4 linked regions of the Caenorhabditis elegans genome follow. The protein of the gene in region 1 purifies or fractionates together with the protein of each later gene. This does not show direct contact. Each region holds a gene or a part of one and is shown in the gene's direction. Other genes may lie near its edges.

The links.
Region 2: the proteins of npp-7 (region 1) and mel-28 fractionate together in Caenorhabditis elegans (co-fractionation; one large-scale study listed by BioGRID). This does not show direct contact.
Region 3: the proteins of npp-7 (region 1) and npp-19 fractionate together in Caenorhabditis elegans (co-fractionation; one large-scale study listed by BioGRID). This does not show direct contact.
Region 4: the proteins of npp-7 (region 1) and npp-12 fractionate together in Caenorhabditis elegans (co-fractionation; one large-scale study listed by BioGRID). This does not show direct contact.

The regions. Positions count from the first base shown.
Region 1 is NC_003279.8:5,690,243-5,698,012, forward strand, and holds npp-7 (RanBP2-type domain-containing protein), read left to right. Parts: upstream 1-2,021; 5' UTR 2,022-2,023; coding exon 2,024-2,219; intron 2,220-2,293; coding exon 2,294-2,454; intron 2,455-2,547; coding exon 2,548-3,153; intron 3,154-3,361; coding exon 3,362-4,054; intron 4,055-4,331; coding exon 4,332-6,043; intron 6,044-6,091; coding exon 6,092-6,313; intron 6,314-6,382; coding exon 6,383-6,446; 3' UTR 6,447-7,264; downstream 7,265-7,770. Other genes in the region: Netrin receptor unc-40, read right to left, coding at 896-979, 1,180-1,198.
Region 2 is NC_003281.10:4,784,362-4,792,101, forward strand, and holds the start of mel-28 (Protein mel-28), read left to right. Parts: upstream 1-1,718; 5' UTR 1,719-1,719; coding exon 1,720-1,810; intron 1,811-1,854; coding exon 1,855-1,992; intron 1,993-2,050; coding exon 2,051-2,299; intron 2,300-2,345; coding exon 2,346-2,453; intron 2,454-2,497; coding exon 2,498-3,414; intron 3,415-3,462; coding exon 3,463-3,582; intron 3,583-3,625; coding exon 3,626-4,110; intron 4,111-4,163; coding exon 4,164-4,678; intron 4,679-4,728; coding exon 4,729-5,072; intron 5,073-5,122; coding exon 5,123-6,211; intron 6,212-6,266; coding exon 6,267-6,359; intron 6,360-6,409; coding exon 6,410-6,502; intron 6,503-6,547; coding exon 6,548-6,640; intron 6,641-6,686; coding exon 6,687-6,989; intron 6,990-7,036; coding exon 7,037-7,348; intron 7,349-7,424; coding exon 7,425-7,652; intron 7,653-7,697; coding exon 7,698-7,740. Other genes in the region: enu-3.2 (ENhancer of Uncoordination), read right to left, coding at 101-238, 353-700, 759-818. UniProt on the Caenorhabditis elegans protein: Nuclear envelope protein which has essential roles in assembly of nuclear pore complexes and in chromatin maintenance during the cell cycle. Appears to be a stable structural component of the nuclear envelope during interphase.
Region 3 is NC_003280.10:10,796,148-10,800,470, reverse strand, and holds npp-19 (Nucleoporin NUP35), read left to right. Parts: upstream 1-1,991; 5' UTR 1,992-1,994; coding exon 1,995-2,068; intron 2,069-2,134; coding exon 2,135-2,208; intron 2,209-2,257; coding exon 2,258-2,530; intron 2,531-2,580; coding exon 2,581-2,972; intron 2,973-3,022; coding exon 3,023-3,207; intron 3,208-3,386; coding exon 3,387-3,453; intron 3,454-3,496; coding exon 3,497-3,577; 3' UTR 3,578-3,818; downstream 3,819-4,323. Other genes in the region: set-14 (SET domain-containing protein 14), read left to right, coding at 4,183-4,323.
Region 4 is NC_003279.8:6,445,698-6,453,322, forward strand, and holds the start of npp-12 (BIG2 domain-containing protein), read left to right. Parts: upstream 1-1,606; 5' UTR 1,607-1,634; coding exon 1,635-1,789; intron 1,790-1,837; coding exon 1,838-1,986; intron 1,987-2,028; coding exon 2,029-2,393; intron 2,394-2,441; coding exon 2,442-2,703; intron 2,704-2,749; coding exon 2,750-2,928; intron 2,929-2,994; coding exon 2,995-4,278; intron 4,279-4,328; coding exon 4,329-5,253; intron 5,254-5,302; coding exon 5,303-5,672; intron 5,673-5,747; coding exon 5,748-5,904; intron 5,905-5,950; coding exon 5,951-6,129; intron 6,130-6,196; coding exon 6,197-6,714; intron 6,715-6,763; coding exon 6,764-7,092; intron 7,093-7,135; coding exon 7,136-7,451; intron 7,452-7,496; coding exon 7,497-7,625. Other genes in the region: T23H2.3 (Transcription termination factor 2), read right to left, coding at 156-647, 699-767.

The DNA.
Region 1 (7,770 bases):
TCATATTGCCTCATCCATCAATTGAAATCGAAAGGGGATGGAAGAGAAAGATTTGTGTGGTGGAAGCTAAAGAAGATGATGGCATTTCGTTTTGTGTGTGTGTGTTTGTGTCACAATTCATTCCAAGAGTAAGAAGAAAAGAGAGAGAGAAGACTTCATGTGGAACCATTGGGACCCACACACACAATAATGAAATGAACGAATCTGGTGGATTTTGTGTAGAGATTACAATCTTTCGAACATCAAACGCCTAGAGAATCTGGGGAATTGAGCTATCCACTTTTGGTTTGTAGTGAAAAATGCTACAATTTGGCGTCAAGTTTTCTTTAAAGGTGGTACCCACCGTGGGGTAGTGAAATAAGGCCCCGAGTGACGGAATGAGGCTTCTCAAAAGCGGAGTCAAAATTAACTAAAATTTTAATTTTTCCCTAAACCGCCATAATTTAGAAAACGTTCAAGATGTCTCTCTTCTGGGGACAAAAAAATCGCTGCTCCATCTTTAAGGTGTGAAGGAACTAAAAGATTGCTGAACAACTCTGCTAGATCGGAACTCGAAAATTGAGAATAATTTTGAAAGAAGGTTTTTTCAAAGTAAAACCATTAATTCGACGATAAACTAAGTGTTTTATAGGTAAGAGTATTAAAAAAAACGTAACTTTTCTTGGATTTGTATTATTTTTATGGAGTCAATTTTTTTTAAAAATAGCCACAAGGTAGTTCAGTGCCAAGTATTGACTTTAAGATGATTTTTATTTATATTTTTCTATTTTCAAAATTCCATTCTTGAATCGATAAATTATGTTGCCGGTGACTGACACCTTGACAGAATGCCAGATGGTCATCTTCCTTCCCCCATTTTAATATATTTTTGAATTCAAATGTGAAAAACTCTCACCATTATCAATCGATCGACGATGATGTTTCCGTGTTGTGGCATGAGTAGATGACAGATAAACTGTCAGAATTATAAGAATGAAACCTGAAAATTATAAATAGTAATGAAGTTTTATTTAATTTCCTTTTGTTTTCTTTCAGAGGTTCGGGTTTAGATACTTCGTTTACTACGAAATTATAGGATTTTAATTTTATTTGTATCAACACAAAAGTGATAACAACAATATTTAAAACTTTTCCACGGAGAAATTATTAAAATTGATAAGATAAAAAGATGGAACTCACCGAAATGTCGCAAAATCATTTCTACTGAATGAATTAAATAACTTCTGTCGAATTATCGCATTCTATTGGTGATGCAGAGGGTCTGAAATAAATAATGTTTTTATTTACCTTTGGATTTTTTGAACACATTTTTTGAACACAGAAAAAAAGATGGAAAAGAGGTCGTTAAAAATAATTTTGAATAGAAAATAAATATATTTAACGGAAAAAGAGTCAAAAACAGGGTCGAACGTCGTCAAAAGAGCTCCAGAAGTGTCCAGCTGAAGGGGTGTGGCCTTGTGGAATGGACACTCTCTCGTTTCTCTGCACCCTCTTCATGTTGTTAATGGAAGGATAACTGTCTGCACTCTAACCTCTCAAATGTCGTTGAAAGCGTCGCGTATGCGTCGCGTGTGCGCACTCGAAAATTTCTTTTTAATCGTCTTCGCGCCATTTGCGATTTTAAATTCCTTTATTGATTTTTAATGTAATTTACACTTCTTTCCTTCGAAAATTCAATGTTGGTAAAAGGTTTTTTGCCTTAAAAATATATCAAGTTTAATGCTTAATGCTGCGTTTACTGGCGCGGCCTAAATTTAAACATTTACGATTTTGAATGATTTCTGTAGTTTTGACCTGTGTTATCGATCAATAATTCGGAATTTTTACCAAAACATATTAGGTGCATTTGTCATGTTCTTTTGGTACTTCCAGTAGTTCATTTAGGCGTTTCAAAAGTATTTCGAAAAGTGTCGTTTTTGAAGAATTTTATTTTATCGAGAATTTCTGACACGGCGCAGAAAAATTTCTTCAGTCTCTCTCAGCTTTAGTCTCAATTACGAAACAACTTTTTTCTATTTCAGAAATGTCCGATAAATCCGGAGGGTTTTTCTCATCGGTTGGCCGCTTCTTTTCTGTTGGAGCTAGTGCCACTAAAAGCAAAGACGGCGATAAGTCGAATGATGAAGGTACATCCAATTCGTCTTCAAAATCGTCTCCTTCTGCGTCTCCAGCATTGAAAAATATATTATCCGTAGATAATGAAGCTAAAATAGCTTCAGGTAAGTTTAATCACATTGACTTTCATATCAGTACATGGCACTAGAATTTCAACTCATTATTTTTTAAATTCCAGATGAAACTTCAGTGAATACCTCACAAAACCATCGCATCGGATCACGTCTTCGATACCTCAGTCCGACTGCATTGGATCGGCGTACGAGTGCATCCAATGGCTTAGAGATCGATGTGGACGCTGTTCCAGATATTTTCTTCAGCACTCCTGCGGTTTCCACGGTAAATTTTTAAAGTTGTCTTTTTATTAATGTGTTTTCACAGAAAAATTAGATTAAACCTGTTGATAAATGCTATCGAAATATTTTTTTCCAGAATCGCAAACGTCAACTGACAGAGCTCGACAAGCAGATTCTACCACAATCGTTTCGAAGTGAGAGTGTGAAACGAAGTCGATTCCTGAACAGATCATTACTGGAACCAACTCTTAATAGTTCAATGAATAATGAGAGGAAAATGGATATGACTTGGTGTGGAGAGTTAACTGCTAATCATTCTCCTGCTTCATCTATCACAAATTTCTCACTTTTGAGCCGACGAAGTGGAGCAACTACCAACGGGTCATTAAGTACAAGAACTCAAGAAATTTTCAAAAAGCTTGAAGGTGCAAATACACCCGCGAAAGAAGTTCAGAGAATGTCAATGCTTCGAGCTGGCATTGCTCGACCAGAAAAATGGGGATCGTTTAGCGAGAGCAAGGTTCCAAATGGTTCAGCAACTGGCACACCACCACCTCCATTGAAAAAAGCTGGAGACGCAATTCCATCTCGTATACAGCTCATATCAAAGACTATGGGAATGTCCGCTCGACGTGCTCCTTATTGGACGGATTTAACTAGGAAAAGAACATCGTCGAAAAATGGAGACACTGGATCTTCTGATTCAATGAAATCATTGAACGGAAACTTTGCGACTGCAGAGGTAACCTGGATTTTAAACACTTGAAAAAAAATGATACAAGAATTATGAAAAAGTTTTTCTGGTCAAATTTTCTAAAATTAGACACGAGATTATCACAGTCTAGTATTTATTTTTAAACGTTTCATTGGGAAATTTTCAGAAATTATAACAAACTTAAAATTATGATAATTAAATTATTCGACTTTATCTTAACTTTTTTAAATTTCAGCTGAGCTCCTTGTTTTCACTGGACTTACCAGCTCCAAAGAAGACAGCATCAACTGCATCCACGACCACCATAAACTCGTCAAATAGTCGAAAACAACATGCCTCAATTATGAAGGGACCTGATGGGAAACCAGTTAGTAGAAATACGTTCAAACTCTCTGATGACATTGAAGAAGTTGATGAGGATTCACAGAAACTTCCACCAATTCCAACAACAACTCTGCAGAATCCACAACCTCTGAAATTGGCGCCAGAATATGCACCCAAGCGCGGGTTTTTGGACGATCTCGCGTTCTCATTCACAGCTCCAGTTGATTTAGTTACTGCTGTTGGAACTGCAAAAACCGCAAGTACGGCAAGCTCACATAAAGCATCCGAGTCCAGCAGTGAGAGCAATGCAGAATCGACAGAAAAGCAAACATCTGAAAGCAGTGGAAACGAATCAGATTCCGAAGAATCAGAAGACTCAGAAGTAGACGTCGGTGAGGAGAATGGTAGTGAAGTGAAAGAGTCGCGACCACAAACTTCCGCTGACACTATCTCATCTGCCGGAGGATCCAATCAGAGTTCAAAGGATTCGTCTCCAAAAGTTGCCAAAGATGCAGAACCAGTTGTGGTTGCTCCAGCTCCAGTGGTCGATGCTGGTTCTAAAAAATGGGAATGTCAATCGTGTTTCTGTAGTTGGGATTCTACGGTAAGAAATTTTGATGTTGATACGAGAAAACTCTAAACTGGGTCTACTATGTTTTACTTAAAATTAATAACAAAATTTAGTCTACAGTTTTCGTGGGTTTAGGAAAGCGTGCGCGAAATGTTCCATTTTTTCAACTAAAATAATTGAAGTCGTCACGAGTCTCGCTGAAAAGTACATCATGTGTCTTTAGAGCATAGTCTCACATTTTCAGAAAATTGTCAAGTATAAAAATTCATCGGAAAAGAAACTAAGAAATTGACAAATAATTTGTTTTCAGCTATCGGAATGTGGGGCATGTGGGGAAGCACGTCCAGGAGGATCTGGTACTGGTCCAAAAAGTCAACCAAAACCTTCCGAAAAGCAGCTTGTATCAAATCTCAGTAGTTTCGCATCGAATACACCAAGTACTGTCAAGTTCGGATTTGGATCAGGTGCTTCAACGACAACAACTATTGCATCGACAACTTCAAACACAATTCCATTCGGAAGCGGTTCTTCAGTGGCACCACTTTTTGGAGCCCCCAAGACAACTGCTCCACCACCAACAACTGTTCCTGCCACAATTCCAGTAGCCCCTACTACTATCGCATCTGCTCCTGTTGCTGCTGTAACTTCATCCTCCAATGGTACACGTGTTGATTGGGAGTGCCCTGATTGTATGGTTAGCAATAAGGCCAGTGATGATAAATGCCCATGTTGCTCACATGTCAAATATGCATCTGCTGAAGCATCTTCGAATGTTTTTGGTAATCGGGCCTTCAAACCACTTTCTTCCACAGGGTCTACTATTTCATTCGGAGTTGGTGGAAGTACAGCAACCACCCAACCAAGCGCATTTGCATTTGGACTGTCAAAGACAACAGAAGTTGCGCCAACTTCTACTCCAGCCTTTGGGCTTTCGGCGAAACCAGCTGTTTCATCAGCCCCAGTCGAGAAACCATCTGCACCAGAAGTTCCCAAAACAGCTGGATCTCTTTTCGGAAATATCGCCAAACCTGCCGATTCAGCTACCACAAGTTTCTTGGCTCCAGGTGCTGCATCGTCTACAAGTTCTTTGGCGCCAACGGCGGGATCATCATTGTTTGGTGGTTCAACTGGATCTATCTTCAATTTAAACAAAACCAACACGACAGAGACTGCGAAGCCAGGCCTATTCGGATCGATCTTAGATAAGGAAACACATGTCACAACAACTCCTGTCTCTGTTGCTCTTCCATCATCTACAGATTCGACTCAATCAAAATCCGCTATTCCAACAATTGCTCCAACCATGTCATTGTTTGGAAACTCATCTACTGGATCATTCGGTGGATCATCAATGTTCGGCAATTCCAAAACGGAACTTCCAAAGATTTCTTCTACGCTTTCGTTCGGAAATCCAACGACTGCTGCAGCACCAGTGTCCACAGCTACCGCAGAAGCTGTAAAAACTAATGTCTTCGGAAGCAACTCGGCATCAGCATCAACCAGCCTTTTCGGTGCAGGATCCTCGTCCACAGCAACTAATCTGTTTACAACAAAGCCTGCTGATTCGACAACTTCTTCGATTTTCGGAAAGCCGATTTCATTTGGAGACGATTCAGGAACAACCACTACTGACGGGGCACCAGCAAAGCGTGGATTGTTCTCATCCGACTCACAGAAGCTTCAGTTCGGCGGCCAGCAAAAAGTTGAGATGCCAAAGTTTACTGGTTTTGGAAACCCTGCCTCTACTGCCTCAACCACAAGTGGATCACTCTTTGGCGGTGCTTCTACAAATCCACCAATGTTCGGAGGGCCTTCATCCTCAAGCATTCCCGCATTTTCGACATCAAACTCTTCAAGCACTTCAGGTTTTCCTAGCTCTACAGCGACCCCATTCGGAAACGCCGGGACAACATCAACCTCTGGAGTGTTTGGTGCATTTGGAAACAAGCCATCACAACCAGGATTGTCTTCTAGCTCATCTACGAACTCGTTGTTCGGTCAAGCACCTGCTGATTCCTCTAAGTAAGCTTCAACATTTTTTGGTTACTAGAAAACAATTATTATTTTCAGCCCGTTCGGTGGCACGTCCAATAATGGCTTCAACTTTGGTGCATCTAGCAGCACAACCGGCGCCACTGCAGGAGGCGGAGGAGTTTTCCAGTTTGGAAATGCTGCCACCTCAGCTCCAGCTCCGACTGCTGCTCCAGGAGGTGGAGCGTTCCAGTTTGGTGGTAACATGTCAGTTCCACAAGCTCCAGCACCTGGTGGAATGGAAAACGCCTTTTCTTATCAGTAAGTTTCTCTTCCAACTTTAACCAATTAATTCAAAAGTACATAAGTATTAATTGTTATTATTTGCAGAGCTCCGAGTGGTGTCGGCGCCCGAAAAATGGCAATGGCTCGACGCCGTAACATGAGAAAGTAATGGAAAAGTTGTTAATCGACATTCGTCATTTAATCTAGATTATTAGAAATATATTTTGTTGCAATCATACCATTTTTGTTGTTCCCTCTTTCCTTATTGCCCTTAATTAATTGTATGTTTGTTGTGAAGTAGAGAAGAGGAACTGTACAAAACATATCCGTTTTCCCATTTTAAATTTCGCCTCATGTTTATCAAAATTTATTTTCTTTTCCTCGAAACGTTTTTTGGAGTGTCCCCTTCTCTCCACAACAGTCCTCTACATAAAACCCTAGTTATCTTTCTATCCTCATTCCCTTTTTCCCCGGTAGTATTTGTCCCCCGTTCTATATTTAAAAATTATCTACATCTATTAACCCCTCCTCCCATATATACCCATATGTCTCCTATCAAATGATTCTTCCCATTCAAAAGTCTTTAAAAACTGTTATATTCAAAATATAATTCAAATTATTCAAAATTACCATCGGGTTAATACACTTTTCGCTGTGACTGATTTCAAAAATGTTTAGATTACCCGTTATTTTGTTTTCTTTTTTAGACAGCCCCCCCACACATTTCCATTTAATTTTGCTCAAATTCCGAAACACAACTTTCAAGTTTTCAACACCGAGCCTTTTGAGTTCTAGCTAGAGCTACTTCCCCTTTGTTTTCATTTGAATGTTTTCTTTCCGATTTTTTTTTTCAAGAATTAATTTTTAATGGGAAATCTAATTATATCTATTGTTGTTGTGACCACTCCCACCATTTAAAACCCACCACTTGTCTCGTTATGGTATTTCCTAGGTTGGAATCAATAAAGGTGTGAAAATAAAACAAAATTTGAAATGATTGGCTGCACGTCCTGTGTCTCTAGATTAGTACAGAACCTCCTCCCACCTCAATTCAAAAGTAAACAATAAAATTACTTACTTTTTCCACCAACTCTTGGTAAATATGAGTAGGTTATCGATTTTAAGTAGGTAGATAGATAGCTAAATATAAAAAAAAGACGATGACTATTACTAACGATGTTGTAGGAAACAAAAAAGAGATGAAATGAGACCTTGGTCGATTTTCATTTATTCTTCAATTTATCTCCCTCTTTACCGGGGGTCTCTAATTCTTCTTATCTCCGAATGGCTTAATCATATTTGTCGGTAGAGGAATTTATCAGTATGATGACTCGAAGTTATGTTCCCCCAATTGAGGCACTGATGTTCAAAAACACAAGCTCAAAATTGTATCACAATAGTAACAAATACGTGCTACCATAACATTTTCTATCTAGGCGAGACCCATTCGAATAAATTAGTGCGTTTTTGAGTACGAGATGTACATCAGGAAA
Region 2 (7,740 bases), on another chromosome or scaffold:
CGTGGCCGCGAAATGCGAAAACTCGGCCACCTTCAAAGATCTTGGCCGAGCTCTCGCTTTTTCTAGGCCACGTTGCAAAAAAATCGATAATAAAACGTACCGGATTCGCGGCAATTCCATAAGCCAACCGCTCTCGGCGTTCCTTCTCCTCATCCTCGTGCTGCTGATCGTCTTGTTCTTCTCGCTTCCTAGCCGCCATCTGCTCAGCGATGAGCTCCTCAAAATATTTCTTCTGCTCCTGAAAAGAAGGTTTCGTATGTTGAAAGTTGTCCACGTGTAGTACGCAATTCGCTTTTCATTAAATATAACTTAAATCAATAAAAAGCTAGGCCACTGGCAAAATTTCACTTACCCTCGCCTTCTGATCCTCGAGGTAGAAATACAAAAAAATGTGGAAAATGACGAAGGCGATCAGGATGCCATATCCGATGTACTTCGGCGTGTCCTTGTGAACATTGATCGTGTATGCACATGACGGGCAGTGTGTGCCGTTTCCATTTTTGCAGGTTTGAGGGCTCGCCGAGCTCACAAGAGCAAGCTGCGTCGTATTGGCGGCAGGAGCGGTCACGTTTACATTTTTCGTCGGATTGCCGGCAGGAGCGGTCGCATTAGGACTTTTTGCCGAATTGCCGGCAGGAGCGGTCACGTTTGAAGTGTTCGTAGCGGCGGAAACAGGCACATTTGGTGTGGTGGTTGTTGGCTGAAAAATGGTGAAACATTATGGTCTAGAAAAATCGAAGGATGTCTAGGCAACTCACCAATACATGAACTATTAATCCGAAGATTACCAATGAAAACAAAATACGCAAAATACGCATTTTTGAGTGACGCGTGTGTCGGAGAGAAACCGATTTCACAAACTAATTTAAGTTATAATTTGTTTATTTCAATCGCTACGTGTGCCGTGTGCCACGTGGCCACGCGTGAGTAGGGGCGGGGCCTATTTCGCAACCACCGCACACTTTTTTCGCAAGCCTCGCACGTTTTTCCATGATATTGTTGCATTTTTCAAAAGAAAAAACGTGCGAGGCTTGCGAAAAAAGTGTGCGGTGGCTGCGAATAGGTCCCGCCCCTGCATCCTGTTTTGGGTTCCTTTTTGTTTGTTTTTTTTTCGCGGATGGTTAATTTTGTTTTCGAAGAATTTCTCGTAAAAAGTTCCTTTACAATTAGTCAAATTTTATTCACTCAATAAACAAGGTTTTTCTTCAAAAAATACAAGGTTTCGCGATGCGCCTATCATTTTATCATTTCTTGAGTAAAACAGTCTTTACGCTCGTTGCTCCAAAAAATGTATGTTTCTTAAGGGTTTCCATTAATTTTTTAGAAGTCATTTGAAAATGCTAAAAAGTTGGTTTACGTCATTTTAAGTATGTGCTTCTCTTAAGATAATGATGTAATATGGATTATATTCCAATTTAAATCATTCAAATTGATTTTTTTCATTTAAGAATTCCATTCAATTTCTACATTCTTCGTTGCGTCTTCTAACCTTTGCAAGCATTTTCCATTTTCGCTTGTTTTCGCAGTCCGTATGTTTCCGTTGCGGTGTTTGCGTATTGGTGAAAACAAATTTTCCCGGTCGTTTGAATGTAGTCGGACGAGCCCTTATTTTAAGCTACGCACTTCTAAAACCACTTATTTTAATTGATAATTTCTTTGTCTCACTTCTTTAAATGTTATTTATTAGCTGCGATGTGCAAAGGTTTATTTTTTTTCAGAATGGATAATGAAAATTCGTCCATTTTCAAATCATATCAAGGATACGAGTGTTGGAGGGGAGAAAAGCAAATTATTTTGAAGGATTCAATTGGTATTTCATATTTCTATCGATTCAACATTATTCTATTCATTCAGGTCGTCAACTTCCCTACATTGTGAATTTTAAAAAGAATACGTGTCAAATATTCGATATCGAATGGGAACGCGTAACTCACTCGTTCGTTTTCCCTGAAGGATGTGCTTTGATCGATGCGGACTATTTTCCAACAGAAGGTAAGTTTTTTATTACTATCATATTTTCTTTATTGATTTCAAAATATTTTATTTACAGAAGGAAAGCTCGGAATTCTTGTTGGTGTTGAAGATCCTCGTCAGTCGTGCGGTGCCGAGCACTTTGTTCTTGCATTGGCAGTTGATCCGGATTCACCAGCCATGACAATCACACACTCACTGGAAGTTCCATCGAAAATTACAGTTGTGAAGACGCTTTTTTCGTCTGCCGACATGGCTGATGAAACACAGAGAACAGTTTTAAAGCTCTATCATCGACTGATGACGTGGCAGCATATTGTGGCAATTGGTAATAAATCAAATTTGAATGAAAACTTTGCAAATTTACATTCCAGGTTGCAAGGAGACACAATGCTACTTAGCTCGTTTAGTTGCTGTTGAGACGCCGTCAAGTCCTGTCATCACAGTTCACAGTGAGAAAAAGTATTTGATCAACCTAATGAGTAAGTTTCCCGAAGATTAAACAAATTTGATTAGTGTGTTTCAGATGCTTACGTCAGCGGTTCAGTTCTTCAGTACACTTTGGACGATGGAGCATATCGTGAATACCCAACCGCCGCCGTGTATATCTCAGCGTTATCGTTGATGCCAAGAAGTCGAACTCTTCTTGTCGGTTTATCGATGGGAGGCATTCTGGCAGCTTCATTGAATCCTTCAAATCAGATGATGCTTTTGGAATTGAGACACGAACGACTTGTCAGAAAAATTGCTCCATTAGAACCAGAAGATGATCCCGACAAATTTGAGTATTTCATCGCCACTGTTGATTGTTCACCTCGTCATCCAATCATGATTCAACTTTGGCGTGGATCTTTCAAAACTCTCGAGGATGTTGATGGAGAAGAAAAGTACGACCGTCCATCATTCAGTGTTTGTCTAGAACATAAGATTTTGTTCGGAGAAAGATGGTTGGCTGTGAATCCTATTGTTACTGAAAGAGATCATATGATGCTCACAAGAAAGCGAGGAACGGAAGATTCGATGCACAATGTTTCTCAGACATTCGGATCAACTTCTAATCGAAACTCTGTTCTTTTGGCATACGAACGAAAGAAGATGGTGATCGGCACAGAAGACCCGAATGCTGAACCAGAATACATTGTGGAAGCAGCTATTTTTGATATAGATTCATGGTACTACAAAAGAGTTCCCGGTCGAGTATCTACAGATGGAACTGTTCTCAAGCAATGTGCATTCTTATCAACTATAAAGTCTAACATCCGATCAGAAGATGTAAATGACATCGGAATTCTTACAAATGAGGCCACTGATGTATCCAGCTTCTCTAGCATGGTTTCAGACGCAGATCAACTGTTTTATCCGTCAGCATTAAGCTTCGAAAGGGTTTTTGTTGCCAAGAATACCAGAATTGACTGGATGAAGATCCAGAACATCCAGGACACGGTAAATTTATCGGCATTGAGATTGTTTTTATTCCGGTTTTTTTTTCAGATTTTGAACAAATGCGCCGTCAAACTGCCTGCTCTCATCAGGAATCCCGAAATGATTTCCAGCGTTGTTATGGCAGCTGGTTTAGTGAGAAAAAATATTCTGTCTGGATCTCCCAATTCGGTGAGCTTATTTTTTAAAGTTAAATTGATGAAATTGTTTTCAGAGCGCCGCAGAAATAAACGAACTTCAATTATCGTCTGATCAAAAGGTTCTTCTCAACGTTATCGTCTACTACGGAAAAATTGAAGAGTTTTGTCAATTGGCATCTCGTCCTGACATTAGTGACACGCTAAAACGGGAATTAGCAGAATGGGCACTTCACGAAGCTGTTGACTACAAGAGAACTATTTCTGACAAGATGGTTTCACTCTTCCAGGGAAGATCACTTGCTCTCTCTCCACTAGCAGAAGAATCTATTGCACAGGGAATCAAGCTTTTCCGAGTTGTTTACGAATATCTGAAAGCCTGTTCAAAAGCGTTAAAAGATGATCGACTTCGCAATTTGGCCCATTCTGTGATATGTATGAGAAACCATACGAAACTTACCAGCCAATTCATCAATTTTGCCATCATTCCTGTAGACCCGATCAGACAGCAAAGAATGAAGGATTTACATTCAAAGAGAAAAAATATGGCGAGAAAGAACTCGTGAGTTTAGAAAAATCCTTTTTAAGAAAAAGTTATACGATTAAATTATTCAGATCATCTCTACCCGTTCAATCAGTCGTTCGAAAAATGAATCGTCAAGCTCCAAATGCTCAATTCTGGAACGATATTCCACATGACGAATGGTATCCGCCAACACCTCTCGATTTGCTGGAATGCCTGCTGAATGTTTCGATTTCTGAGAGTATTAAACGAGAACTCGTTGTCCAATATGTCATTGATTGGATTTCCACATCTCCTGAAGATTCTGAACACAGCGAAAAACAATTGGCACTTGAAACTATCAAAATCATGACAAATCAAATGCTTAACGTTAACTTGGAGAAAATTTATTACATTCTGGACCAAGGAAAGAAGGCTTTAACAAGCAGCAAGACATCGGATGATATGAGAGCACTTGGAGAGAAAGTATTCTCAATGAAAGATGACGAGATTAGTTATGAGAAATTGTGGGGAAAAGATGCTCCGATGACAGTGACAATCGGAAAACACGATTTACAGCGATTTGAACAACGAATGAAAATGCAAATGGAAGGTGGAAAAGTTAGATGTGAGATAGATTTTCAGTCTCATTTCCAATTAATTTTTTTTAATTTCCAGTGCCAGTTCTCGATCCGGAATCTGAGATTCTCTACCAAATGTTTCTCTTTGAAAACGAAAAGTTTGAAGCAATGTCATCAGAAGCGATTAGTTCCAACAAATTGCTATCGGCTTTCCTGCCAGGAATGATCAAGAAGGATGGAAGAGGTCGTCAGAAGACTGCGAAAGAACAGGAAATCGAAATTTCAGTTAAGAAAATGTTTGAGAGAAAGGTGCAAAACGACGACGAAGATATGCCTGAAGTTTTCGCTTCTGTCAATGACAAAACAGAAAGAAAGCGGAAATCAAGTCAGTTTGGTGAAGACGATGAGAGTAGTGTTTCGTCATCACAATATGTGCCACCTGTAAGATTATTGCAGTTAAATAGTACAAACCAAGATTCTGAAATTTACAGACCGCGAAGAGAATTCAACAGTGGAAGAGTGCCGTCGAATCTGTTGCCAACAATTCGAGTATCAACAGTATCACAAGTCCGGATTCTCACCAAAATGCAGAAATCAATATGATGATTGCAACACCGGCACGGTATTACAAGCGACATAATGAGGAGGAAAATGTTCAAGATGGATTTCTATCGCCCGCTGGAAACAGACCGCCGCCAGTCTCTGCTCACAACAGTATTCTGAAAACAGCTAAAGGTGGCCAATCGGCTAGTCGAGGCCGTATCCGATTCCGTGCTGACGTTCCAAGAGGTGCTGACGAGAGTATTGAAGACAATGGTCGGAAAGGCCTTGCATTGAACTTTGCAATTCTTGAAGATGAAGAAGAGGAAACCATGACTATTAGAAAATCACGGTCTATGGGAAAACATGACGAGGAGAAGGATTCAGAGAAAAATGTAGTGGATGAGATGGAAGAAGTAAAAGATCAAGAACAAGAAAACGATGAATGCATTGAAAGTGAGAAAACTTTCGAAAACCAAGACGATTTCGAGGTTCTCGAAGATACATCTGCTCCAGAAGCTGCAAATACAGAAAATGGTTCGGAAACTCCTCCCATGGAAGATACGTTTGAAGTACGAGATGATGACGTCATGCCACCAACCGATGAGACATATTTGAGTCATTTACAAACCGATAAAACGGGTATTCTTGAGGAGGAAGGTGAAGATGAAGATATATGGGATGGAGTTCAAAGATCTTTCGAGGTTCAAATGGATGAGGATTGTGAAGCTGTACCAACGATTGATGTAGCCGATGATTTGGAGAGTAAATCTGAAGAAGTGAATGAAGAAGAGGTAGTTGAATCTGAAGAAGTTCAGCAAGATGCGAAAGAACCTGAAAAAACTGAAAAACGACAGGAAGAGCCAGAACCTGAAGTTATGCAGCCAGTGATTCCGGAAGAGCCTCAAAACGAATCTCTCGAATCGTCTATTAAACTGCAGGAAGAGTTACAGGAAGAGCCTGACATAGTTCCGACAGGTGATGAAGATACCGCGGATAAAGTTCAAGAACAAGCTGTTGAGGAAGATAGACCACCATCTGTAAGATACCATAAAATAAAATTTGAGGAAAAACGGCAATAATTGTATATTTCAGAGAAACACTCGCTCATCATCTGTCCAGAAGTCTACTTCACAAGTGGAAGACCGGGATCCGAAAGAACTTGTCGAGGAAGAAAGACCTCCATCTGTCAGTTTCGTCATCAATTTGACAGACAGAAATAAAATTTATGTTTTCAGAGAAACACTCGTTCTGCGTCTGTTCAAAAATCATCTAACCAAGAGAAAACTTCGGAATCAGGAGAAGTCACGGAAGAAGATAGACCACCATCCGTGAGTTGTTTTTAAAATTTGAAATTTATATGTGTATTTTTCTAGAGAAATACGCGGTCGGCATCTGTTCAAAAATCTTCATCAAAGGTAAAAGACCAGAAGCCAGAGGAACTCATCGAGGAAGATAGACCTCCATCAGTAAGTCTCTCGTGATTTCTTTAAAAATTTAGTTCAATATTTCCAGAGAAATACTCGATCCGCATCAGCCCAGAAGACAGTGGCAGCAAATAAATCTGTTTTGGAGTCTGAAATTCCAAGTCGTTCAGCGTCACGAAGAACTCGCTCCACATCGCTTAGGAATGATACTGTTGCCGAACCAGATGAGACGTCGGTTGCGATGACAACTCGGCGTCGGACTCGGGCAACTTCTGAGGTTGTTAGCAAGCAGTCGTCTGAAGATGATGGAAGATCGACACCAAAAACCGGAAGAACTCCCACGAAAAAGGCTGCAGCTAGTACATCTTCTAGTAGAGCTGGAAGTGTAACTGTACGTTGTTTAATCGTTTAATCATACAACTATTCGAACATTTTCAGCGCGGTAAAAAATCGATCATCCAAAAGATGCCATCCCCGCTAGAGGTTACAATGGAAGTTCAAGAAGAAGAAGAAGAAGAAGCGGAGGAGGAACGGCCTGCATCAAGAAGCACTCGCTCTGCATCTGTCAAAAATACAACTGTTGACCCATCGTCATCTGCACTTGCTTCTACCAAACGTACAACTTCTAGAAAGAGGGGCAATTCGGAAACGATCGACTTTAATCAGGACGACAAATCGGCACCGACGACGCCAAAAAGAGGAAGACCCGCCAAAAAGGATGCAGGATCTCCTAAAGTTGGAAGTAAAGCTGTAAGCATTTTTAATTATTTTTTTGAATTAAAAATGTTGTATTCATAAATTGTAAATTGATTTGTTTTCGTTTCAGCGTGGCACCAAGCCTAAATCGATATTCGAAAATCAAGAAGATGAAGAAGATCGTTCATCCTCTCCAGATATCGAACAACCAGCCACACCTACACGGTCTTCCAAACGAACGGCTAGATCCAGAGCAAATTCCGAATCGATCGATGATGATAGCAAGCAGAAGACCCCAAAAAAGAAAAATGCCGCGGTTAATGAAGCTGGTACCAGTAAACAGTCTAGAAGTGTGACGGTATGATCCCAAAACATAATTTTTTTTCAAAATTATTATTTTCAGAGATCTCGAGCATCATCTATTGATGTACAACAAGAGGTGGAAG
Region 3 (4,323 bases), on another chromosome or scaffold:
GATTATGAAAATGTTGAGCTTTCAATTCTATTAGCGCTGCACACGTTTCCATTTTTAGAACTCATTAAAAATCTCAAAAGCATTGAGAAGAGATAGAGAAAAAAGAAAACATCATCATCATCATCAACACATCCTGTAGAGTGCTTTTAAAAGGAAAGAAGAGAGGAAGAAAAATGTGAAAAAGAAGCGTCGAGAGCAACTTGTTGAGTGAGTGAGGGGGGCACAGAAGGATCACATCCAATTAGGATTGAATGAATGCTGTCGTACACACAAGAAAGTGGAATGGAACGATGAGTAGAATAAAAAAAGAAAAATGATGGAAAGGGATGCACTTGGGACACATTGCCGAAAAAAAAACGAATCGTTGCTATAATGTTCTTCCGCTAGTCTTCATAGATCCCGTTGCCAGGTGACCTCGTCTCCAAAAACTTTCTTAAATTTCGAAATCGGAGAATGTGTACTCCACGAGAAGAAGAGTGTGCGAAAATTGCAAATTTTGCAACCTCCGCACGGTTATGAGAATGAGAGCTCAATGAACCTTGCGGAGGTTGCAAAATCTGCAAGTTCCGCACGGTTATGTGGGTGTGGCCAATACCATCGTTTTCTATTCTCAATTTCTGTTATTACGTGGTAGTCTAAAGATGAAAGTTTTCGGGTCTCACCACGCTGAAATTGGGTTACTGTAACTGGACCAATATTGTGCCATTTTTAATATTATATTCAAATTCTTGACAGCAATTTTCGATTAAATCTGAAAATTATGATACTATGCTACCCGTAAATGGAGACGAGTTACAGTAACTCGGCGTGGCGAGACCTAAGATTTTACGAAATTTTCCCAATTTTGACGTCTACGTAATAATTCCCTCTATCCCAAAATTTGTTTTGTAACAGTACGGAAATTGTAATTTCCGTACGGTTTTATGGGAATCACAGTTTGAAAGTTTCAGTTCAAAAATCAAAATCTCATCTTCTAAGAGGCGGGGCGAAAACACCAAATTTGACGCGCAAGTTTGACTACATCATCAGGTCGCCACTTCTGCTCCAGTCAGAACCAACCACATTTTCTGAAAATAAATTACATCCGGTTCGGTCCGAAAACTAATATTAAATACAATTTTCATTCAATTCATCATCTTTTGGTTTTTTTTCTTTCTCATTTTGACCAACCCGCAAATATTATACGACACAGGGGGCTATATAGTCGTGCGCGACGAAACATTTTTCTTTCCCAAAAAAGGAATGAATTCTCATTTTATTTGATGAAGAGGCGGGAAGAAGCTCTCCGAACGTTGTGCTCTGTGTGGTCAACAAAAAAAGGTCGACGACACAGAAAAGGAATTTAATTAAATGGGGGACCCCGTCGTCGTGCATTTCTCAATTTTCTCCGTTTTTTTTTGCAATTAAAACGAGGAGGAGTGAGAAGAAACGAGTGGTGCTCGTTGAAATTTGAAAACGAAAATTAGACGAGGGAGTAGGTCAAAGGGAAATAAAAACAAAAACATCTGAAATGTGTAATTAAATTTCTAGAATTTTTTAGAATTCAATATTTTATGGATAGGTATGTACTATAGGGGTCGGCGGTATTATACAGTAACCCATACACGAATTTCACTTTTTTCAGTGTCTAGTGTTGAAGAAAAAAAATCAAAGTTCAAACAGAAAATCGACTTCATCAAAATTACAAAACATCCGATCAGAGAAAAAAAATTTTCTCTTTATTTCCCGCAGAAAACCTCCCAGCAAACTTTCACCACAAAAACCCTATTTTAAACTCCCTCCATTTTCAAGTCCGCAATTGCGCGTAGCTTTGCGTGTTTTGTCGTTGCGGACTTTGATTTTTCAAACAAAAATGTTTTTTCTTGGAACTTTTCGAACCTGTTTTCCACTTTAAAAAAGCGGTATTTTTCAATTCTTTCTTTATTTTAAATTTGAAAAACTTGTTTATTGCTTAAATTTTTAATTAAAAAGCATTTTATTTCGAAATTCAGGCCATGTTCTCGCATCTTAACCAAAATACATCCGGAAGGCATAACTCAATGGATCTCAACAATTCTAGTATTTCAAAGTGAGTAATTTGTTTCTTATTTTGCAAAAAAAAAACCAGTTTTTAATACTAAAAATCTAATTTTAGCTTCGGGACACCAGTTGAACAGTCTACGCCGGCACTTCTTTTCGGAAAGCGAAAGGCAACTGTTCCATCTTCGTGTAAGTAAAGTTTATCTTAAGTTTTCTCAAAAATATGATAATTATTTAGACACCGCTAGCCCGCTCAACACTGCATCGGCACCATGTTCGGATATTTTCGCTGTTTCTGCACCGGCAGTGCCGCAGCATTTGAAGGATACACCGGGCTCTAAATCAGTTCATTGGTCTCCATCTTTGGTGCAATCTGGTGAAAAGTCGGCGGCACAAACACAGAATACACCTGCCAACTTGTCTTTCGGAGGAAATTCATCATTTTCGGCGCCGACAAAGCCAGCTCCTCAGTCGATTCAGACATCATCTTTCGGTGGTCAAGCGATGCATGGTTAGAATTTACATTTTTTCGCGAATATTTAAAATAAAATTGATTTTCAGCACCACCTCTTCGATCTCTTCGCGACAAAGTTGAACCAGCGAAAAAGATCTCCAGACGAAATACATTCACTGCCAGATCAACACCACTTTCCACTCCAATCACTCAACGAGTCACATCCAGGTTGGCTGAAGCAGAAGAACAACCAATGGAAGAAGAAGCCGACGCAGCTGATACCTGGGTCACTGTTTTTGGATTTCAGCCAAGCCAAGTGTCGATTTTGTTGAATTTATTCTCGCGGCACGGGGAAGTAGTTAGTCATCAGACTCCATCAAAAGGAAACTTCATACATATGCGCTATTCGTGTGTCACACACGCTCAACAAGCTATTTCTCGAAACGGAACTCTCCTCGATCAGGATACATTTATTGGAGTCGTTCAGTGCACAAATAAGGTAAGTAAAAAGGATATATTTATTTTTTATTTTAATTTTAAAATTTACAGGACGTGATCAACGGCTCAGCATCCGGAATTGTTGCTCGATCATCTAACATTGCTGCAGCTGCAAACCGATCTGCTTCCATGTATAACTCATTTGTGGAGAACGATATGGCCGATCAATCAGTTAATCACAATGAGAACAGTGTGCTCAACTCGTCGAATGTTTTTGATGCAAATAACTCGCTCAAGTATGATTAGAAATTTTTAGTAAAAAATTCATAAAAATCTAAATTTTATACTTGAATCTGCTAAAGCGAAGTTTGTAGTTTGTAGTCTAGCGCTACTCCACTTTGAAAATGTGAAAAAGAAAAAGTTAATTTTTCACAATTCAATTAATATTTCCACAAAAAATTGTTTATGTTTTCAGTTCTTCTCGTATTTCCGTCCGTTCTGGTGTCGGAATGAGACCATTGGCTGCCGATCAAAGAACAAACGTAAGCATTTCATTGATTCAATCCTTCTAACCAATTAAAAAAGATTTTACAGGGAACCCCATCGGTTCGCAAGGCACCTGACGGATTGCTCAACAAGTTCTGGAACACGATCGGACTCAACTAATCTTTTTGCTCATTGGAAATATCGCCCATTTTTCTGTTTTATTTCACCATTTTTTTCTTTTGTTGTGTATCCTTCTTTTTCGAATTTCTGAAAACAGTTTCGTTTCTCACGGTTTTTCGTTCTCAAAATAATTTTATTTATTTCGGTGTATTCTCAATTTTCGGACATTTTTCCTTCCCTTCTTCCCGTCCATTCCATTCCCATTCAAAACTGATTCTATGAATTGAAATGAAGAAAACTCATATTTTTATATTGTCGATTATAGAAGACGAGTTGCTAATACTCGAAAAAAATATTTTTTCAAAAAATGAGGCTTTATTGACTGAAAAACATCGATTAAACAAATTCACTTCTATGAGTTTAAAGAAGGGCGCATTATTGCAGAATGGTCTCGGCACGAATGACATTGAAAATTGTGTGTGGGTGTGTGCCTTTAAAAATACTGTAGAGATTCTTTTATCGATTTTTCTCATTTTCTTCAATTTTTAATTTCAGAAAATTATTTACAATCGATGAAGTTTTTTTTAAATTTAATTTTTTTTATAAAATTTAATTTTAAAAAACCCGTTAAAAAAAAATTATTCAAATAATTCTTTCAGTTCCCAATGAATCTTCCCCCAGACGCCCTCCACGAAAATGTGTACGCATTTGCTCTTGCACGAGATCAAGTCGAATCATATTGTAATCAATGCCTTACGAGTATGGCAGAACTCAAAAAGTGCAGCGCCTGCCGACGGCTTGCTTAT
Region 4 (7,625 bases), 760 kb from region 1:
TGAAAACTTGCAAAAAGTGATTTTCTCGCTTGAAAAATCGTTTTCTAGATAATTTCTGGCAAGTAAAATGTGAAATTTTGGATAAATATCGGAAAAAAGTAAAAGGAAATTTTGAATTTTGAGCCAGCTTTAGGTCAATGTTTCCCCATTCTTACCATTGAATCATCCAAATCGGAAGCATGCCGGAACGTCTTCGCAATTGGCGAAAAATGCGAATTTATGAGATCACTGCTTTCAAGACTGCTATTTTCACCAGTTCCCCATCCACTTCGCGATGAGCCACCTGTCAGATCTTGATCCGATTGCTGTTTGATGGATTTTCTGAGGAGCCGCTCACGGAGCTGCTGCTTTGCGCGGGGCTCATCGGATTCCTGTAGCTTCTTGGTGATCGGGGTCACTGGTTTTTCGAAGCTGTTGTCAATGAAGCTTCTCGAACGATAGTGATCGTCTGTGGAGCATTTAGAGCTCCCGTAGGTGGTGGAGGAACCGGTTCTGGAGATGCTCTGCTTGGAGTTTGGAGTTGATGTGTACACGGTTGAAGCCATGGAATTCAGAGAGGCATCAATAATTGTCCTGGGCGGCTCGGAGCTATCAGTTGATCTCATTGAAGCTGTTTCATCGACTTCAGATGAGGAGCTGTGTCTTTCCTGAAATTCAATAATTTTAAAGCAAAATTCAAATGTTAAACTCGAACAAACCTTGCGATCCTCGTCTTCCGACGAGTCTGAGGAATCAATAATGACGTGATTCTTACGAAACGATGCCATCCTGCAATAATTGTCGTGAAATAAAACAGTTCTGGCTTGAAAATATTGGAAAAAAGAACGTGTTAGGAAAATCTTAACGTAAAATACAAAATTGTGCCTTTAAAAGTGTTTTTCTGAAAACCCCACAAAAATTCAAGGAAAACTGCAAAAACATTTCTTCGCGCAAAAATGGAAGTGCAGTGGAGCGCGCTTGCAATAATTCGAGACAACACGGGTTTTCGTAAACCGGGTCTTGGAGACATAGAAACTCGAGAAGAAACGTCTCATTGTGCACTTTCTGAGCACGTTTTATTGAAAATATCATAAAGTAACTTAAAATAAATAACTGTCAAATAATTTCTGCTGATGAAAACACGTGTTGTCGCAATATGTGTCGAAATGAAAATATCAGGAAAAAACCATAACAAAGAGATCTACGAGCAAATTTGTTAGGTAAAATTTTTTTTGAGGTAATATGAATATATCTTTGATCGAGAAGGAAAAAAGCGCATTTTATTTCACGGTATTAATTTCATGTTTTTTCATGTTTTTTCCCCAATTACGCTTTTTCTTCAGATTCCGAATCTAGAATTATGAACTACGGTCACCAAATTGGTTCATTGTCGTGAAGAACCGCGCCGTGTTTGCGTACAACGAAATAATTTTGAATTTTTTCGCAGAATTTCAGTTTCTTTTTTCTTCAATCCGATCTGAGTTATCGCTAAATTTATTTTTTATTCTACTATTTATTTAATGCATGATCACTATAGTTAATTAACTTTAACTTTTATATTAAATACATAAATTTCTCTCATCTCCACCTGTTTTCCTTTTCCATAAGAGAAATTTTCATTAATTTTTTTGTAGGTAGGAGAGCCGAATAGATCAATGATTATACTTCGATCACTGCTCGTTTTGGCTTTAGTGCAAATCACAATATCATACCGGCTAAATGTTCCTCGAGTTTTATTACCGTACCATCCAACGGTCCCAGTTTCATTTGTGCTGGAAGTAACGCATCCAACCGGAGGTTGTTTTACATGGTAACTCAATGAAATGATCTAATTATTTTTTAATATATTTAATTGCAGGAGATCTACTCGTCCCGATATTGTCTCTGTTAAACGTATCGAAACTAACGAAGCTGGATGTTCGGATAAAGCTGAAATTCGATCGGTTGCGAAGCCTGGAACTGTTGGAAGTTCGGAATTGTCTGCTGTTATTTTTGCAGAAGATAAAGGTATAATTTTTGTGAAATGTTGGTTTTAAAATTTTTATTAAGGATCCGGCACAACATTGAGTTGCGGCGTGACAGTAGATGAGATCGCAACTATTAGCATCGAAACAACAACGAAAGTTCTATTCGTGGACGCTGCCCCTGCTCGAATGACTGTTGACGCATTTAACGCCGATGGCGATCGATTCTCTACTCTCAGTGAAATTGCATTGGAATGGGAGCTTGCATCAACATCTTCAAATAAAGCGAAACCACTACGAATTGTTCCATTCGAGCAATCAACATATGAAGCTCCTTCTGAAATTGTTAAACTGGAAAAGAATCGAAAGAAAGGATATCTAATTCTGATTGAAGGTGTTGGAACAGGAACAGCCACATTGACAACCAAGTTCAGTGATGCTTATTTGCAGGTGAGCAATCTGCAAAACTACATTTACCTAGGATGTTTTTTTTTTCAGAAAGTAGCAGCGCACAACGTCGAACTCGCCGTCGTCGCAAATTTACTTTTGGTTCCATCTCAAGATGTTTACTTGCCAGTTCACTCAGTTCTTCCATTCCAAGTTTTAATTGTCAAGCAGCGTGGAACAGAAATAGTGAACATGCCTAATCCGTCATACGAACTTCAAATTGATGGTGGTGATGTGGCGTCGCTCGATAAAAAAAGTTCATCTGTGAGAGCTCTGACGATTGGAAACACTGCAGTACATCTCTTGAGCAGCCGTGAGTTGCATAAATGGATGTTTCTCGTTCAAAAAGAATTTTTCAGATGTCGATGTGCGCGCTAAAGCTGGATTACGTCCACCATCTACTGTCATTCATGTGGTAGACGCCGAATCTGTCCAATGGCATGTTTCAGGAGATAATTGGATGCTAGAAACCGGAAAACAGTATACAATCAACGTTGAACTTCTTGATGAGCACGGAAATGTTATGTTTGTTGCTGATGTAAGTTAAGCTCTGAAAAATTGAACAAAAAACAGCTGTCAATTTTTAAATTTTACAACTTTTCAGAATTCCCGTTTCGACACTCATATCGATGAGCAATTTCTTCATGTGGATTTCAAGTCTGAGAATGGTACCTGGTTCCTTGTGACTCCACTGAAACCCTCAAAAACTACTCTTCGAACCAAATTTGTTGCTATTATTGATGCCAAGGGAAATCGAATTGCACAAAGTGGCAAAATTGGCGGAGAGCAGCGAGTAACTATCGTTGATCCTGTGAGAATTGTTCCACCGGTTATCTATTTGCCATTCGTATCTGAGAAAAGATCACAAATTGATCTAACAGCAACTGGAGGCAGTGGATTGTTTGAGTGGACTTCTGAAGATGGACACGTGGCAACGGTGGATCTGCTAACTGGAAGAATGACTGCGAATTCATTAGGAAGCACTAAAGTGAAAGCAACTGATAAGAGAAATGATCAGCTTCGTGACATTGCCAGTGTTCATATTCTCGAAGTGTCTGGAATCGGATTTGGAGAAACTGTCCGTGAGACATTCGTCGGAGATACTCTTACATTAAATATCAAGGCAACCGGACTCACATCTGATGGACTTTTAGTTGAAATGTCCGATTGTCGAAATATCCGTGCTCATGTTCAAATTACGGATAATGCGTTGCTTCGGCACGAGTCTTCAGCTGATTCGTCGCTTCCAATGATGGGCACTGGTTGTGGAACAATAACTTTCAAAGGACTGTCATCAGGAGATGCCCGAGTGTCCATCAGTTATTTGGGCCACAAAGCGAGCATCGATGTAGCAGTCTACGAGAAATTGTCTATTTCCGAAGAATCTTCATCAATTGCACTCGGAAGTACTCACCCATTGACTGTGTCTGGTGGACCAAGACCGTGGATTTTGGATCCAGCAAACTTTTACAAAACACAAGAAACAAAGCAATCGCAACTTCAAGTCACATTTGAAAACGAAAAAGTTTTGTTCAAGTGTGGATCTTCAGAAGTAACAGAAGCTGTTCGTCTTCGTATTGGAAACCTCAAATCGTCAACGCTTCCACTTCCAATTCACTCTGAAATTACAGTTTCGATTTGTTGCGCAAAGCCAACTCGTCTTGAAATTTTTGACAAGAAACAACGTCCATCCAAGTGCCCATTGAATGTTCATTCAATGCTTATCAATACAAATGTAGAACTCGTTCTCCGTGGATCAGGAGTTTGTAATGGAGCTGCAACTCCGTTGGCCTCAATCAACGGGCTTTCACCGAAATGGACTACTTCTGATTCTGGTCTTTTGACGGTTAATCGTCATGGAATTGAGGCAGATGCGACTTCTGGAAAGGTGAGTTGATTCTGAAAACTAAGTTTTTTTTCACATAAATATATTTATAGAAAGAAGGCCAAGTTACTATTCAAGCTCAAGCTGGATCTCTCTCCACTAAATATGAAATCACAGTGAAAAAAGGATTGAACGTCGAACCAGCACGTCTCGTTCTTTGGAATGAAGCTGTCTCAAAAGGAACGTTCACTATAACTGGTGGATCTGGCCATTTCCATGTCGATAATCTGCCAACATCAGATTCACCAGTTGCAATTGCTCTCCGTGCAAGAAGTCTCACAGTTACGCCGAAGAATAATGGACAAGTGAATCTTCGTATTTCTGATGCTTGTTTGGTTGGGCAACATGCCGATGCTTCCGTAAGAATTGCTGATATTCATTCATTGGCGATTGACGCACCGCAGTTTGTGGAAATTGGACAAGAAGTTGAAGTAGAGATTCTGGCTCAAGACGAAACTGGAGCTTCATTCGAAAAAGAACATCGTCCACTTGCTGACGCTCAACTCGATGCAAGTAACAATCATGTAATTTTGACCAAAGTTGACGGACTTCGCTACACTCTTCGTGCCAACTCAATTGGAACTGTATCGCTGTCCGCATCATCAAAATCTTCATCAGGACGTGTACTCTCATCTAGACCACACACCGTTCAGATTTTCTCTCCTATTTTCTTGCAACCAAAAAGATTGACTTTGATTCCGGACTCCAAATTTCAGTTAGAAGTCGTTGGAGGTCCTCAACCGACGCCACCACTCGATTTTTCCTTGAATAATTCAATGATTGCATCCATTGAGCCTAATGCACTTATTACGTCGTCAGAACTTGGATATACAGCAATTACCGGAACTGTTCGTGTTGGTGATGGTCATGTTACCTTGGATACTGTTGTTCTTCGTGTTGCCTCTCTCGGTGGAATTATTCTGTCAGCGTCAAGCAGGAAAGTGGAAACTGGTGGAAGAGTAAACTTACGATTAAGAGGTATGTGACACTTTTCTTTCAAAAAAATTAATTATTTTTTATTCTTCAGGAGTGATCGCCGGAGCTGAAGACGAAGAACCATTTGCTTTTGGTGGAGCCATTTACCCGTTCAAAGTAACATGGAGCGTTTCTGATCCATCTGTTCTATTCACAACTCATCCCCTCGGTGGAGATGTAGTCGAACCAACTGATAATCAATTTGCCATTTGGTTCAATGCTATTCGAGGAGGATCGGTTACAGTGAAAGCGGTTGTTGAGCTTAATGAGAAGGCAAGAAAGCATTTCACTGGAAGAACCTCTACTTTCACCGCTGAAACAACAATTACAGTGGAAGATGGACTTTCATTAGTTCAACCAGAAATGGATATTAATACTGTCAGAGTGGCGCCAAATTCTCAATTGAAGATGGTCACTGCATGGTAAGTGAATATTTTTGCAGATTGTTCTCCTTTTAAACAACTCTAATTTCATTAATTCAACTTTATTATTTACAGGTCTCAAGCATCTTTCTCAGTTCCTTCTGATTTCTCGAGCCGGATCGTCATTTCTGCGGACGGTCATTTGATAACAAACGGAAAAGAAGGATCAGCTGCAATTACCGTTCGTAATGTGAACAGCCCGGATAATGAAACTGTTCTCATTCCTGTGACTGTAAGAAACGCTATATTTTTGTAGATTCACTTTTCCCTTTTTTCAGGTTTCTCGTGTCGCTTCTCTCGATGTTCACCCAACAATTGAACTTAAAAGTGCTTTTGAGAATTCTCCACTCATACATCTTCCTGTTGGAGCCCAAATCCAGCTAAACGTTGTTCCACGTGATGCTCGAGGTCGTCGTCTTGCGGCTGCCTCCAACAGTATCAATTTCAGACCACATAGGTAAGGAAAATTCCGATCTTTGAAAATTGTTTTTTTAAGATCCAAGATATTCACGGTATTCTTATAGATTCGACTTGACCGATATTGTCGCCACCAACAGCAATCAGACACTGACAATCACACTGAAAACCGCTGGAGATACTGTTCTCAGAATTGGTGATGCTTCAAATACCCACATTGCTACATTTATTCGTCTTTCTGCGTCTGAATCAATCCTTCCTCGAGCTGCTCACAAGTATGCAAACGATCTTGTTGTATCTGATGTGATTTGTCTTCAATCAAACATTTTCACTGTAGACGGATCTCGCTGGTCGTCTCAAAGTTCAAGTGAAGGAAGAATCAGTTGGCTCGATGAGAATCTCGGAGTTGCACAACTCACAAAGGCTGGAAATACTTTTATCAGACTTCATGCTGATAAACAAACAATTCATTCGAAGATCTCCGTTGTATTGCCATCTTCTCTTCGTTTCCCTGATGGTCAGAAACCAGAGTTTGTGAGCAATGATGAGCATTCGGTATTCGTAATTCCTGTCATTGCTGCAACCAATAATACTTCAGGAAGCAAAGTTTCGTCAATTTATGGAGGTGAGATTTGCTGTTGTTTCACATTTCATCCTCATCTTTGTTGTTTCAGAGTGCACTGCTGATCAAATTCGATCATTTGATGCGATTGGTGCTCCATTTGAATGTCAAGTTGCTTTCACTCGTCGTTCGAAGATCATTTCGGCTGTCAATTGGCTGACGGTTTCAGCAGTTTTCAGCCCAGTTTTTGGTTATGGGTGTGAAATTCGTCGATTTGATTCGAGTGTCTCAACTTCATCAATTGTTGTTCCCGAGGAACTATTGAAAGATCAATTTGATGCTAGAATTACTGCGAAATGGATTTCAGATGGTACAGTACAAGTAAATGATGCTACAATTGATGTTCCATTCCATTTCGCATTTATTGTCGAGGAGAAGGAGGTCAGTTACACGAAGTTTTTTTTTAATATTTTACTTTTTCCAGCTCGTATTCTCAAATATGAATCAAATCGAAGCAGCTCTCTCCATCTGGGCGCCTACATACGACTCGAAGCACATAGTCGTTTCTGGATGTGAAGGAGATATTGTATCGGTCGAGAAAACCTCAAGATCAAGTGATAAACATTCTGCAAAGGCAAATGTGTTCTATAACATCCGTCTCAACATCAAATCAGCAGCTCTGTTCACTGAACATGCAAAGAAATGCCAAATTTCTGTTGAGAACACGTTGACTGGTCAAGTGATTCGTGTTCCTGTCACTGTTCAGTTGTTGGATGAGACTGCTAAACAAGTATACAACGGTAAGTTTCAACTACAGGATTCAATAAAATTCCTAATCGTTTCAGCACTTGAAAGTCGTGGGGTAGTAGATGTTCTTCTGATTCTTGCACATAAGTACTCTCACGCTATTCCAACGTTGCTGTGGACTTGTCTTGTCGGAATCATCATTCTAGTTATCGGAATTTATGTTAAGA